Linked DNA regions of Mus musculus. The protein of the gene in region 2 binds, or shares a complex with, the protein of the main gene of each other region. Links are inferred from orthologs where the notes say so. Each region holds a gene or a part of one and is shown on either strand. Other genes may lie near its edges.

What was found. Proteins that work in one complex are often made in the same cells at the same time.
Region 1: Pigp (region 2) and Pigyl share a complex: the UniProt entries of both Homo sapiens proteins name them as parts of the glycosylphosphatidylinositol-N-acetylglucosaminyltransferase (GPI-GnT) complex. The link is inferred for Mus musculus from reciprocal best matches to the Homo sapiens genes PIGP and PIGY.
Region 3: Pigp (region 2) and Pigc share a complex: the UniProt entries of both Homo sapiens proteins name them as parts of the glycosylphosphatidylinositol-N-acetylglucosaminyltransferase (GPI-GnT) complex. The link is inferred for Mus musculus from reciprocal best matches to the Homo sapiens genes PIGP and PIGC.

Annotation. Positions count from the first base shown.
Region 1 is NC_000075.6:22,155,273-22,158,904, reverse strand, and holds Pigyl (phosphatidylinositol N-acetylglucosaminyltransferase subunit Y precursor), read right to left. Parts: upstream 2,060-3,632; 5' UTR 1,992-2,059; intron 1,174-1,991; 5' UTR 911-1,173; coding exon 695-910; 3' UTR 550-694; downstream 1-549. UniProt on the Homo sapiens protein: Part of the glycosylphosphatidylinositol-N-acetylglucosaminyltransferase (GPI-GnT) complex that catalyzes the transfer of N-acetylglucosamine from UDP-N-acetylglucosamine to phosphatidylinositol and participates in the first step of GPI biosynthesis.
Region 2 is NC_000082.6:94,363,935-94,367,679, forward strand, and holds the end of Pigp (phosphatidylinositol N-acetylglucosaminyltransferase subunit P), read right to left. Parts: intron 3,700-3,745; coding exon 3,627-3,699; intron 1,540-3,626; coding exon 1,421-1,539; intron 854-1,420; coding exon 729-853; 3' UTR 518-728; downstream 1-517. UniProt on the Homo sapiens protein: Part of the glycosylphosphatidylinositol-N-acetylglucosaminyltransferase (GPI-GnT) complex that catalyzes the transfer of N-acetylglucosamine from UDP-N-acetylglucosamine to phosphatidylinositol and participates in the first step of GPI biosynthesis.
Region 3 is NC_000067.6:161,967,639-161,972,036, forward strand, and holds the start of Pigc (phosphatidylinositol N-acetylglucosaminyltransferase subunit C), read left to right. Parts: upstream 1-1,549; 5' UTR 1,550-1,641; exon of another isoform or gene 1,642-1,731; intron 1,732-2,588; exon of another isoform or gene 2,589-2,601; 5' UTR 2,602-2,812; coding exon 2,813-3,706; 3' UTR 3,707-4,398. Other genes in the region: 4930558K02Rik (uncharacterized protein C1orf105 homolog), read right to left, coding at 273-358. UniProt on the Homo sapiens protein: Part of the glycosylphosphatidylinositol-N-acetylglucosaminyltransferase (GPI-GnT) complex that catalyzes the transfer of N-acetylglucosamine from UDP-N-acetylglucosamine to phosphatidylinositol and participates in the first step of GPI biosynthesis.

The sequences.
Region 1 (3,632 bases), on a different chromosome or scaffold from region 2:
AAACAAAATCCCAAATTATTTTTGACAGTCTCACTATGCTGGCCTGGACCCTCAAGAGATCCACCTCTGCCTCCCAAGTGTGTGTGTCACCACTGCCTGGCTTCCAAACAACTAACTTTTAAATGAATGGGCTAAAAAAAAGACAGTCCTTAGGGCCTGGGTGCTTGGTTGGCAGAGTGCTGGCTTGGCGTTCCTGAAACCCTGGGTTCCTCCAGCACCACATGAATGGATGTGGAGCTCTTGCCTATAAGTTTAGCACTCAGGAGGTAGAGACAGGAAGGTAAGGAGGACAAGGTCTGCCTCTCACAGCTTGAGGTTCCCCAGAACTAAATGAGAAGGCAATAGGCGGGCAGAGAGATGGCTCAGGGGCTAAGAACATGAACTCGCATCCTTTATGGATGATCTGAACACAGCTCCGGTAGCCTACAACTGCCTGTACCCCCAACTCCAGGGACCCATCACTTGCATGGCCTCCTTGGGCACCCACACTCACATGCGCATACCCACACACAGACACACAATTAAGAACAAATCTTAGAAGAAACAGTCTTTGGATGAAGGCTGGTCGTGTTCCTCTCCCATAAGACATTTTATTGAAAAGTATTTTTCAGCTACAAAAGAATCTGCAACAGCCAGGAACCTCCGGCCATGCCCCACTCCGCAGGCAGCCCGAGCAGGAGGGGCCTCGGCTCCCCTAGTTATGTCTGAAGAGCTTCAGGCCCATCCATGTCCACAGATGGAAGAACACGTACACAGGCACGGTGACCGGCAAGAGCAAGCTGTAGAAGCACAGGCTGCTGGCGCTGGTGCAGCCCTCTGGGAAGCCTTCCTCCACGGAGGCGGAGTAGAGCAGGCCTGCCAGCGAGACCAGTGGGATGAGGACGGTCATGGTGGGCAGGGACCGGATCATCTTCCTCCCTTCTTAAAAGGTTAACTGTCTCAAGAAAACTCAGTTGTTTGAAAAGTTCTGTTCTCGTGCGGGTGCGCTCTTGTCTTATCTTCCCCTTGTCCCGACTCCTCATTCACCCAGGCATGCTTCCCAAGGGCACGCAGAAAGTCCAGGGGTCCCAGGCCGAAGGTGCCGGCTCCTCAGCCTCCGCGTCACACGCAGCGGTTACCAGCGACTGCAGACACCACCTGTGTCCCTCGCAGCGCAGGCGAGAGGTCTTTTAACTGTATGAGAAAAATGCAAGATGACAAGATGAAGGGCAGGCGACGGGAAGGGAGAGGAAAGGATGGGGAAGCAGCCAGTACCAGCACTGAGTAGGTTAGAGACAGGATTGCTGGAACCGGCAGGCTGGCCTCGAACGTTGTGATCCTCCTGCATCAGCCTCCCCAAGCCACCACATCCGGCTAGAAAGAAGCCTTTAAAAAAAGGAGTGTCCTCCAAAACTGCCTATAGTGACCCCCATCAGAGGTATCAGTATTGAGGAGGCAGTGACAAAAGAACGGCTGCCAGACCATGCTTAAAACACTACAAGTGTCATGAATTACTTTGGGAAGTAAGCAATTTGAAAAACAGAATGAAGGACAGGTGGACTGATAATGTTTTTGTGAACTGGGGAAGCGGAATGCGACCTACAAATCCGGGTTCGCTTCAGACATCTGAGTGAGGCTTTCTATACGAGGACTGGCTGGGAACCAGCACCAGAACCTGGGGCCAGGTCACGAGCCACCCGCGGTCAATGCACAGACCGAAGACAGCGCCATCCCTTGGGCGCAGTCGCCTCGGGGACCAGAAGGGGCAACGAGCCCGCTGCAGTCTCTGACCGACGGAGGGACAGAGCCGAGCCGAGCCGAGCCGAGCCGAAGAAAACCGAGCCGAGCCGAGCGGGGCAAGACAGGACAGGGGGAACCCGGCCGAACCGAAAACGAACCAGCCAGACAAACGGAGTCGGCGGCGTCCATGGCGCAGACGCCAAGCTGGCGCGAGTCCCGCCCCAGCCGGTTTCAACAGCTCCTCCGCTCGTATTTCGAGACCCTCAACTCACCGTTTGCAGGCCTGTAGGAGTCCGGTCCCTTCGGCGCCTGGCGGTGACAGTCACCGCCCCACGAAGGCGGGACAGCCCGGCCAGCCGCCCAATCAAATCCCTGCAGGGGCGGGGTGAGGAACCCAGATCCCGCGATGGAGCCGGTCCGCGCGTGCTCATTGGACAGTTCACCTTGCCTTCGCTCCCAGGCTCAGGCTCCGCCCCCGTGGTCTTGATTGACGGGTGAGGCCAGAAAGACTCTGAGAGCACCGGATAGCTAAGGATCCCATCGTCTCTGGCTGGGCGTCCCCTATGCTAGTCCTGCTGGAAGTAGGAGAGGAACGTATTTGCCACAGTTTATTCATGGCGCTCCAGAGCAGACAGTGGGGTCTTTCTGCACTGAAAAGCCTTCCCCACTTTTTTTTTTTGGTTTTTCGAGACAGCCCTGGCTGTCCTGGAACTCACTCTGTAGAACAGGCTGGCCTCGAACTCAGAAATCCACTTGCCTCTGCCTCTGCTGGGGTTAAAGGCGTGCACCACCATGCCCGGCTGCCTTCCCCACTTCTAATTGATAAACTTGAATCCTGAATCGCACCTGGCCTCAGCCACTATCATCTATCCTCTTAAGCAGCGGAAAGATGACTGATACATTATTTTACGTATGAATCGGTAAATGGCAAAATAATAGTTTGTGCTGATGAGATGGCTCAGCGAGTATAGGCGTTTCCTGCCAGGTCAGACTACCTGAGATCGACCTTCCGGTACCCACATGGTGGAGAACTATTTTCCTCTGACCTCCACACATGTATTGTGGCACACCTGAGTGTACTCCCGCAAAAAGTGCAAAATGAAGTTTTAAGAGAAAATGTAGCCAAGCACACTCCTAATCCTAGCACTCCTTAGGCAAAAGCTAGCGGATTTCTGTGAGTTCGAGACCAGCCTGGTCTACATAGCAAGTTCCAGGTCATCCGGACTACATAGTAAGACGATGAGTGTGTGTGCCTTGGGGTTGGGGGGAGGGACGGTGTTCGTAAATGCTGTCCACGGGGCCGGCCACTGCCTTGCCTAGTGAGGCAGTGTTATCTCTGATCCCAGCGTAAAGAAAAATGAGGCTGAGCTAGGATTCTGCACAGTACTGCACAGGAAGCTCCATCCCTTAATCTTCCCGCAAGCTAAAAGATCAGAAAGTTTTTCTTCTCAGAGGTAAGTAGTGGTATAGAGTCCGTGCAGCTTCTGTTGCAACCACAAGGTGGCAGGAGAGAGCTGAGGACAAACCATCCTATGGTTTACACAGAGCAAGTAACAAACATTTTTTAATTTAAAAATTTAAAATCGGAACAAAAAATAGCCAGCAAGATAGTTCAAGAGGTAAAGGCACTCACTACACACGCCTGTGAAAAGGCCAGTATTGGCGCAAGATACCCAAGACCAAGTTCTTAGCGTAGAGGGGTTTTGCCCCAAAGTTCAAAGGGCAGGGAATAAGAGCCAAAGACAGGAGATAGAGGATGAGGGAGAAGGGGGGTGGGGGGGGTCACAACAGACAGGATGATGACAGCACAGCAAAGGACTGCCTCTGGGTAGAGGGGAGAAAGACGTGGTGCACAGGGAAATGGCGGTTTAAAAAGGTAAAGAGGAAACCCCGTGTTAGGACAAGGTGTTTTT
Region 2 (3,745 bases):
AAAACTTTGCAGGCCCATCACTGTCCCTGAGAGGACAAGGGAACACTGTGAACTGAGTGGCAGCTCTGACCACATCCTGCTCTTTTGTAAGCAGCAGCCACAGTCTTGCTGGATCACTGGCTCAGCTAAGGACAAGCAGACAAGGCAGTCACTTTCAACTCTGTCTGCATGTTAGAAGACTTGGGAGACATCCGTTCTTGGTTGCTTTATGTTAGGCTGGGGAGATTAGCTGGTAAAGTATATACTGTAGGGGCATGAAGACCCGAGTTTGGATCTCTGCACCCACACAAAAGTCATAATGGGGTAGGAGGCAGAGACAGGTAGGGCCCTGGAAACTTGTGGGCCAGCCTGGCCTACATGGTGAAGTGAGGCCAATGGGAAACCCTGTCTCAAACAAAGGGCACTGAAGAGAGACAACCGAAGTTGTTCTCTGACCTCTATGTACACTGTGCATGTATGCATTCATACACCCATGAACACATGCATGTGTGCACATATAGATCTACTCAAGGTTGACTATAGTATAATGTGGTATTTTATTTATTGTCAATTAAAAACTCAGTTGAAAATATTTACAATACCAATTGAACTTAATCTAAGGAATCAACTGTCATGTTTTTACATGTCAATATTGGGTATTAAAAGGACAATCAATATAATTATGCTCAAAATTATTCAGCCCACAACTGTAAATGACTGGTTTTAGGATGTTTATACACAGCTCAGTTTTAGGTATTGAGTTCTTTGGCTCCTAGGAAAAACATTTTGTTTACTTCACTAATGGGGACATCTCTCAATGCTGGGATGGCATCCTCTTGGTAGTTTTTCCTCTGTTGGTTTTTAGCATAGTTATCTGCAAGAGAAGAAGAAAAGCTCTGTGGTTGGTTGAGACCTATCACACTGCTCAGCAGGCTGATGTGCAGATGATGGCAATCACCGCGAGCTATTATTAGCTATTTACCTCATGCTGTAACAAAGTCCCTAACAAATGCAACTTAAGGCTTAGTTGTACGGAGACAGTTCACCATGGAGGGGAAGGTATGTCAGTAGGAGCAGGAGGTGACGGACCACGTGTGTCTACCATTTGTCCGTCAGGAGGCAGACGGGGATAAATGCTTATATTCAGGTTATTTTCTCCTTTTTATTCAGACCTAGAGCCCATGTACATACCACATTTAAGGTATCTTCCCACTTCAATAAACTGACTCTAGATAAACCTCATAGAATGCTCAGTATTGGTTTCCCTGGTGACTCTAAATTCCTTCAAGTTGCCAATTGAGATTAATCATCATGCCATGTTGAATGTATCAGATGACTTTCTCCCAACGTGTTTCTTAGGCCTATTTCTGATTGCTTTTCTGATAAAAGTACTAATATCTCTTTCCTCTATGCCTCATAATTTTATTTCATATAAACGTACCTGTGATCGTATGAATGGAGTCAAGTGGAGAGGTACTCATCATGTTGATTCCAAATAAGAGCACATAACCAATTACAACTGTGATAAGGAGGTAGACGGGCAATGCAACCGCCCAGTATCTGCACAAGAGAATTCATGCATGTCAACAAACATGCATGAATGAGTCATAATTCCCAAGAGTCAGTCACAAAACACACTTTAACAATCTAGAGTATTATTAAAGTAGCTGATGTATGCATGTAACAGATAGTGCTATAAGGGGCCAATGAACAGCTGCAGACACCTGTCTCAGCCAAGCCATCCCAACCCTAGAATTTTATTCTGCCCAAACATGCCCTTTCAATATCTGAGCTGTTTCTTCTGGTATTTACATCCTCATTTCCATATAACGTGCCTACATTATATCTTGATTTTCATCAGCTTTAGGCATTTTCTCTAGATGCTCTAAAATGAAAATAAGGTGTTTACTTCTTCCTCACACTTTCTGCACATGCTTCACTTTATTATGACAGCAGTTAAAAACAACTGGTTATGCTAACATTTGCAGCTGAGAACCTTAGTGTATTATGTTTTCTTATCTGTTTTTCTGAAATTATACATTTCTGTCTACTGTTTCCCCAGTATCTATCAAAACTCCAGAATCAAATTCTTATATGTCTCTGTTTTCCTCTCCATACAGTGACGTCCACTAAGTGCTCTATCTTGCCAGGTTTTGTTAAATCATTTCCTCCCTACCGTTTTCCTTTGCTACAATTTCCACTTTTTTGCACCATTATTCATTTCTCTGTTTTCCATCTTTGCTTTCTGTTCCACTGTCTCAACAGTCAACTTTCTAGATAACATTTTAATTACCATGCTTATAACTTTTCAATGGTAATTTAAAAAAATCCCTTGGGCAGCATACCATTCAGGATTCTTTCTCATCTCAGATGATTAAACCTTTTCCCCGTTCTGTTAGATGGCATTATCTCCATTTCTTTTAAGTATCTTCTATTTTGTATTTAAGGACAGACTTTTCTTTTAGTGCCTGGTGTTTATGATGGCGTATTATATTTAAGATCCAAGTGATAAGTTGATAGGAAGTAAGGTATGTGATGTACATGGGCAGAGATGGCAGAAAGGTTAGATTATAGATGCTGCCTTTTACCCTGGTCAGCTTCCTCAGAAAGGTGCCTCCCACCTTTCTCTGGGAGAGGATAAAGCCTGGTAAGGGAAGGTGCTGGGGAGGAAGCCTTATTCGGCCAAGCAGATGCTTGTTAATTGTCCCCTGTGCTTCATTTCTACAGTTAACCCTTGTAACTTCCAGACTAGACTCTGCCCAGCACTTTCCACAGGATGGAACTATTTTTTTGAAGGGGCGGGCAGGATAAATCTCCAGGTTTAAGATATGGAAGGGGAGTCAGCAGGTCTAACGCATTTTAAACAAAATTCCTATCCAATGCAGAATTACCATTACCAAGAGACACTGCTGCTCCTGAGGTCTGGGTCCTTTTTGGAATTCCAGGGCACAAATGTTCTTGTTGGGTTCCCTCGTCTACCACATGGAAAAACCAGACTCTTCTATCTTGAAGCATGTCCTAAAATTTTGTTAATATCTTACCTACTATCCCATTTTGTATGCTTATACCTTTAAAAGATTTTCCGGCAACAGTATAATTTTAGCATGATTTTAGGAGGAAACGGAGATAAATGTTTGCCCCACCACCTTTAATTAGTGATATATTAATAACCTTTAGGGTATGGCTGTTGGGGTGTGGCTCACTAGTTAAAGCACTTGCCACTCAAGTGTGTGGACCTGGGTCTGGATTCTCAGACCCAGTTATGTGCTGAGCTTATGTGGCAGGCCAGCTGTAAGTTTGGTACTCAGAGGCAGACACAGGGAATTCTGGAACAAGTCGGCTAGTCAGACTAGCTGTACTATAGAGCTCTGGGCTCAATGTCACCCTCAAGAAAGACTCCTGACATCAACTTTGAGGCACTACATGCACGTGCAAATATGTTCACCTACACATACAACGTGGGCACGCACATGTGAATACCCCCACTACCCTCCCCCAGTACAAAAATAAAAGCAACATTCAATTTCAACACAGATACTCATGGATTTTAAAAGCCATAAGGATTTAAGGCTTGGGTTTTAGAGAAGAGTATTACCCTGCAAAACAATATCAGTTTTACCTCCCCATTGAAGAAATATTAAACTTACTTTTGAGGCCAGTAAGTTAAGCCTAAGGAGTTTAACCAAGATTCGGGAACGAAAGCCCACACAAGATAAAGTACTGCAGGGTAGAGGGTAAGGGGAGAGAGAAGACATGTTAGTGAGGC
Region 3 (4,398 bases), on a different chromosome or scaffold from region 2:
AAACTATGGAAGTGTTTTGAGTTACAGTGTCTGTGGTTGAATAGTACACGCAGAAATGAAGGTTATGGCGGCTCTCATTTCTTCTAGCCAGGCCTTTACATAGCATAACCTTTGTCTGAGAAACCCAGGGCGTTTCTTTCTTTTTTCTTTTTCTTTTTCTTTTTTTTGCATTCGACTTGGTTTCTCAACAGGGCACATGCACCTCTCCACCTTAAGAGTACAACCACTGAGCTCTGCCTCGAAGGCTCTGTCCTCAGAAGCTGGGAAGTTACCTTCTGGGGATGCTCAGGATCAATGGTTTGTTTACCAGGCTGGCCTCACTCAGCCAAGGAATCTTGTCAAACTTTGGAACAAAAGCCTACAGAGAGAGAAATGGAAAGAGATCAGGTTGCAGAGTTTATCACACTTCCGAAGACTAAATCTTAAAGGGAGTCACAGGGCCAGAGAGATGCCTTGGTGGCTAACAGCACTCCTTCCTCTTGGAGAAAAGCCAGGTTTAGTTGACAGCACCCACAAGCCAGCTCATGACTGCCTGTAACTATAGCGGCAGGGGACCTAGCACCTTCTTCTGACCTCCACAGACACCTGGAGTCAGGAGCACATATGTAGACATAATTAAAAACAAAATATTAAAAAAAAGTTAAAATACTTGACCAGTGCTGGTATTACAATAAGCAAAGTAAGCTAACAGCAACCACACAGCAATCAATACATTGCAAACTATTTTAACACGAGAGTCCTCCAACCATTCCATAAGGTGGCCAAGAACAAATAAGCGCCTTCTTTCTTTTACAGACAAAGAATTCAAAGCCCAGATAGTGTGAATATGAATAAATGGGTTCATGCTTTCTGCCTCTGTGTCCACACTATTTAACAGTCTCTATATTTTAAATTCTTCGAGCTTCCATCTATTTATAAATCCTGTGACACTTCCAAGACCCCAGTTGAAAATCAGCAATCTCTCGTCCCAAAGGCTCTCCACCCTCATCTCTTTTAGGTGGCAAAGTCTAGGAAAGGATCCAGCTTTGGAGCCATCCACATTTGGATATTTCTGATCTACTTGCAATTACTAACCAGCTGCCTGACTTTGGTCAAAAACAAACTAATGATCGCATCGTCTCTGTGCAAGTCAACGCACAGGATGCTATGTGAGATCTGGGATCTCCCCGACTCCCCCCCCCTTTTTTTTTTTTTTTTTTTTTTTTTTTTTTTTTTTTGGTGAATACCAGAAGCCTGGTTTGGCACCTATAGGAGGAGGGTTTGGATGCATGGAAAGTCCCTTGGCTGAGAGCCTGTCAACACATGTCATGGTAACCTTGCAGTTACCAGTCTTCCACCAGCCCCGCGACTCTTCCTGCCTTCTCCTGCCTTCCACACCCTGTGAAGTAATTCCCACTGAGGGATTTGCTTCCCAGGCTTAGCATTCCACTAGGAGCAGATTGCCAGGAGAGGAGCAATCAGTAGAGGGCAGCAGTGACCTCGCGGTGTGGAGTCTCGGGGCGGGACGCTTTGGCCGCCGAGTGCTGCGGATCCGGAAGTGCTCCTCCACAGTAGTCCCCTTCCAAGCCGGCGTCCCGGATGTAGAAGTAGCTAGGCGGCCGCTCTTCTCGGTCGTGCACCCCCCTAAAGAGCTTGGTGCAGGTGGGTTCCGGCGTCCTTCGCTGTGAGCGCTTCCGGCTGATCCAAGGCTGGGGCGGGGGTCGGCAGCGGCGGGCGGGGCAGGCCGGTTGGGTGAGTGGTAGCCCAAGACCCTTCGCCGCCCGGTGACGGGGACCTTTCAAATCCCGAGGTCCCAGTGCGTGAGGGCCGACTCCAGGGTGTACGGCTTTTAAAGCAAAGGTCTATCCTAGCCTCCACGAAAAATACAGACGGTCCGGCAGGAAGTTCTTTCTCGAATTTGCTGAATGACCTCTGTGTTTACGACTGGGATGATTGTTTTCTTGATCCTGCGCTAGAGTTTTGCTGTTTCAGTTAATTAGGATGATATAGCACTTTAAAGGATAGTAAGTTCAGCTAATGAACAAAAAAGATTTGAGTTCTTGGTTTGGGCTAAAACTATAGAGAGATCATGCCCTTTTGTACGGTGCAGGTTATTGTCATTCGACCGATAACTTATTCAGATACCTTTGGGGACCTAGTAACGGCTATGGATGGATTCTGTCCCTATAAATTTGCGTAAGTTGCAAATATAATCATGCAAAAATAGTATAAACCTTAGAGTGTATGAATGCCCAAGTTAAGACTGGCTTAGAGAAGGACGACCAGAAGCAGAGACTTTGACACTAGACTTTTGTAGGAGGTCTGGCTCCACGCTGTTAGCCTGGGACCTAAATACTCTACTGTTTTGAAACTCAGATGTCTTATTAGGTAAACTCATAACTGGTATTAACTTGTAAGGCTGTGACAGTTAAAGAAGGTGCATAAGACATTTAACATTCTGAGTTAGATGCAGATATCAATTATTAAGACTACACTTTAAAATGTGAAGGCTTAATGCCGCATTATGTCACCAGACACAATTTATCTAGGCTTTCAGTAAGCCAAGTTGTTTTTTATTGTATCTGATGCCAGCTTCCATATATTTACAGTTCTCTCTTCTAGGAATTTAGCTGTGTTGTCCTGACCCTCAGGACAAACTCATCTAATGCAGGCTCAGCTTGTACTGAAGGCTTTGTAAACAAGGAAAGTTCTGTAGGGTATCAGCATGGCATTTCCAGAGAGTTCTTAATCTACAGATTTATCAAGAACCAGAACCCCATGGACGTCCCTGAGGGAGATTGAGCCAACCTGGATTTGAGGAAAGAATGAGATAATGTGTGCTCAACGTGTAACAGACACCCCAGAAGTCAAGTGGCAGAAGGTTTTATATGAGCGGCAGCCGTTCCCTGATAACTATGTTGACCAGAGGTTCCTGGAAGAACTCCGGAAAAACATCTATGCCCGGAAGTACCAGTACTGGGCTGTGGTATTTGAGTCCAGTGTGGTGATACAGCAGCTGTGCAGTGTCTGTGTTTTTGTAGTGATCTGGTGGTACATGGATGAGGGTCTTCTGGCTCCCCAGTGGCTTTTTGGGACCGGACTGGCATCTTCCTTGGTTGGGTATGTTTTATTCGATCTTATCGATGGAGGTGATGGACGGAAGAAGAGTGGGCGGACCCGGTGGGCCGACCTGAAGAGTACTCTGGTCTTTATCACTTTCACTTACGGTTTTTCACCTGTGCTAAAGACCCTGACGGAGTCTGTCAGTACAGACACTATCTACGCCATGGCAGTCTTTATGCTGTTAGGCCATCTCATCTTCTTTGATTACGGTGCCAATGCTGCTATTGTATCCAGCACCCTGTCCTTGAACATGGCCATCTTTGCTTCTGTTTGCCTGGCCTCACGCCTCCCCCGGTCACTCCACGCCTTCATTATGGTGACGTTTGCTATCCAGATCTTTGCACTGTGGCCCATGTTACAGAAGAAACTGAAGGCGTACACCCCGCGAAGCTATGTAGGGGTCACTTTGCTTTTTGCCTTTTCTGCCTTTGGAGGTCTTCTGTCCATTAGTGCTGTGGGAGCCATACTCTTTGCTCTCCTGCTGTTTTCCATCTCCTGTCTCTGCCCTTACTACCTCATTCATCTGCAGCTTTTTAAGGAAAATATTCACGGGCCTTGGGATGAAGCTGAAATCAAGGAAGACTTGTCTAGGTTCCTTAGCTAATCTAGGGACCTTCATTTCATTATTAAGACCAGCGGAAAGACTTCGAGCCTAACCGGTGCAACATTTAAAGGCAGGGGTCCACTCTTGAAGCAGCCGACTGATCTAGATGGTAGAGCTGAGATCAGAAGAAAGCATTTAACCAAGGGCTTAGGGGAGGGTGCTTGTCCTTCAGTTATTTTGTGACTGAAAAAGCTTTCTGGTGCTGTTATGAATTATTGTCCTTTATTCCCTGTAACAAATGATGTAATGTGGGTTCTGCTTATTAAAAAAGTAATATCCATTGCATTGTCTAGTATTTTAAAAAAAACAAAACAAGGAAACCCTTATTTATGTGTGTATAAGAGAGGGGGTTTGTCTATTTCCAGTATGTATGTCCCACGCATCAAATTCAGGCCCTGGCAACAGGCCTTTACCAGCTGAGCCATCACACTGGCCCTGTCTCATTTTTATGAGAGCATAAGACAAAAGTAGTATGAAGGTGTGTGTGTGTGTGTAAAAGTGTAATCAGTTGTTTAGCCTTTTCTGTGTATACTAAGGGACACCTTTATATATCTAGAGCCCAAATTTGAGAATCCCTGATGGTGGCATCCAGTTTGTTGTCCAATACCACAGAAGTGGTCACTCAAGGAGAGCTACATGCCATAGAAACAAAACGTTAGCGATATGAAAGAGGCTGGAGGGTGAGTTCATCT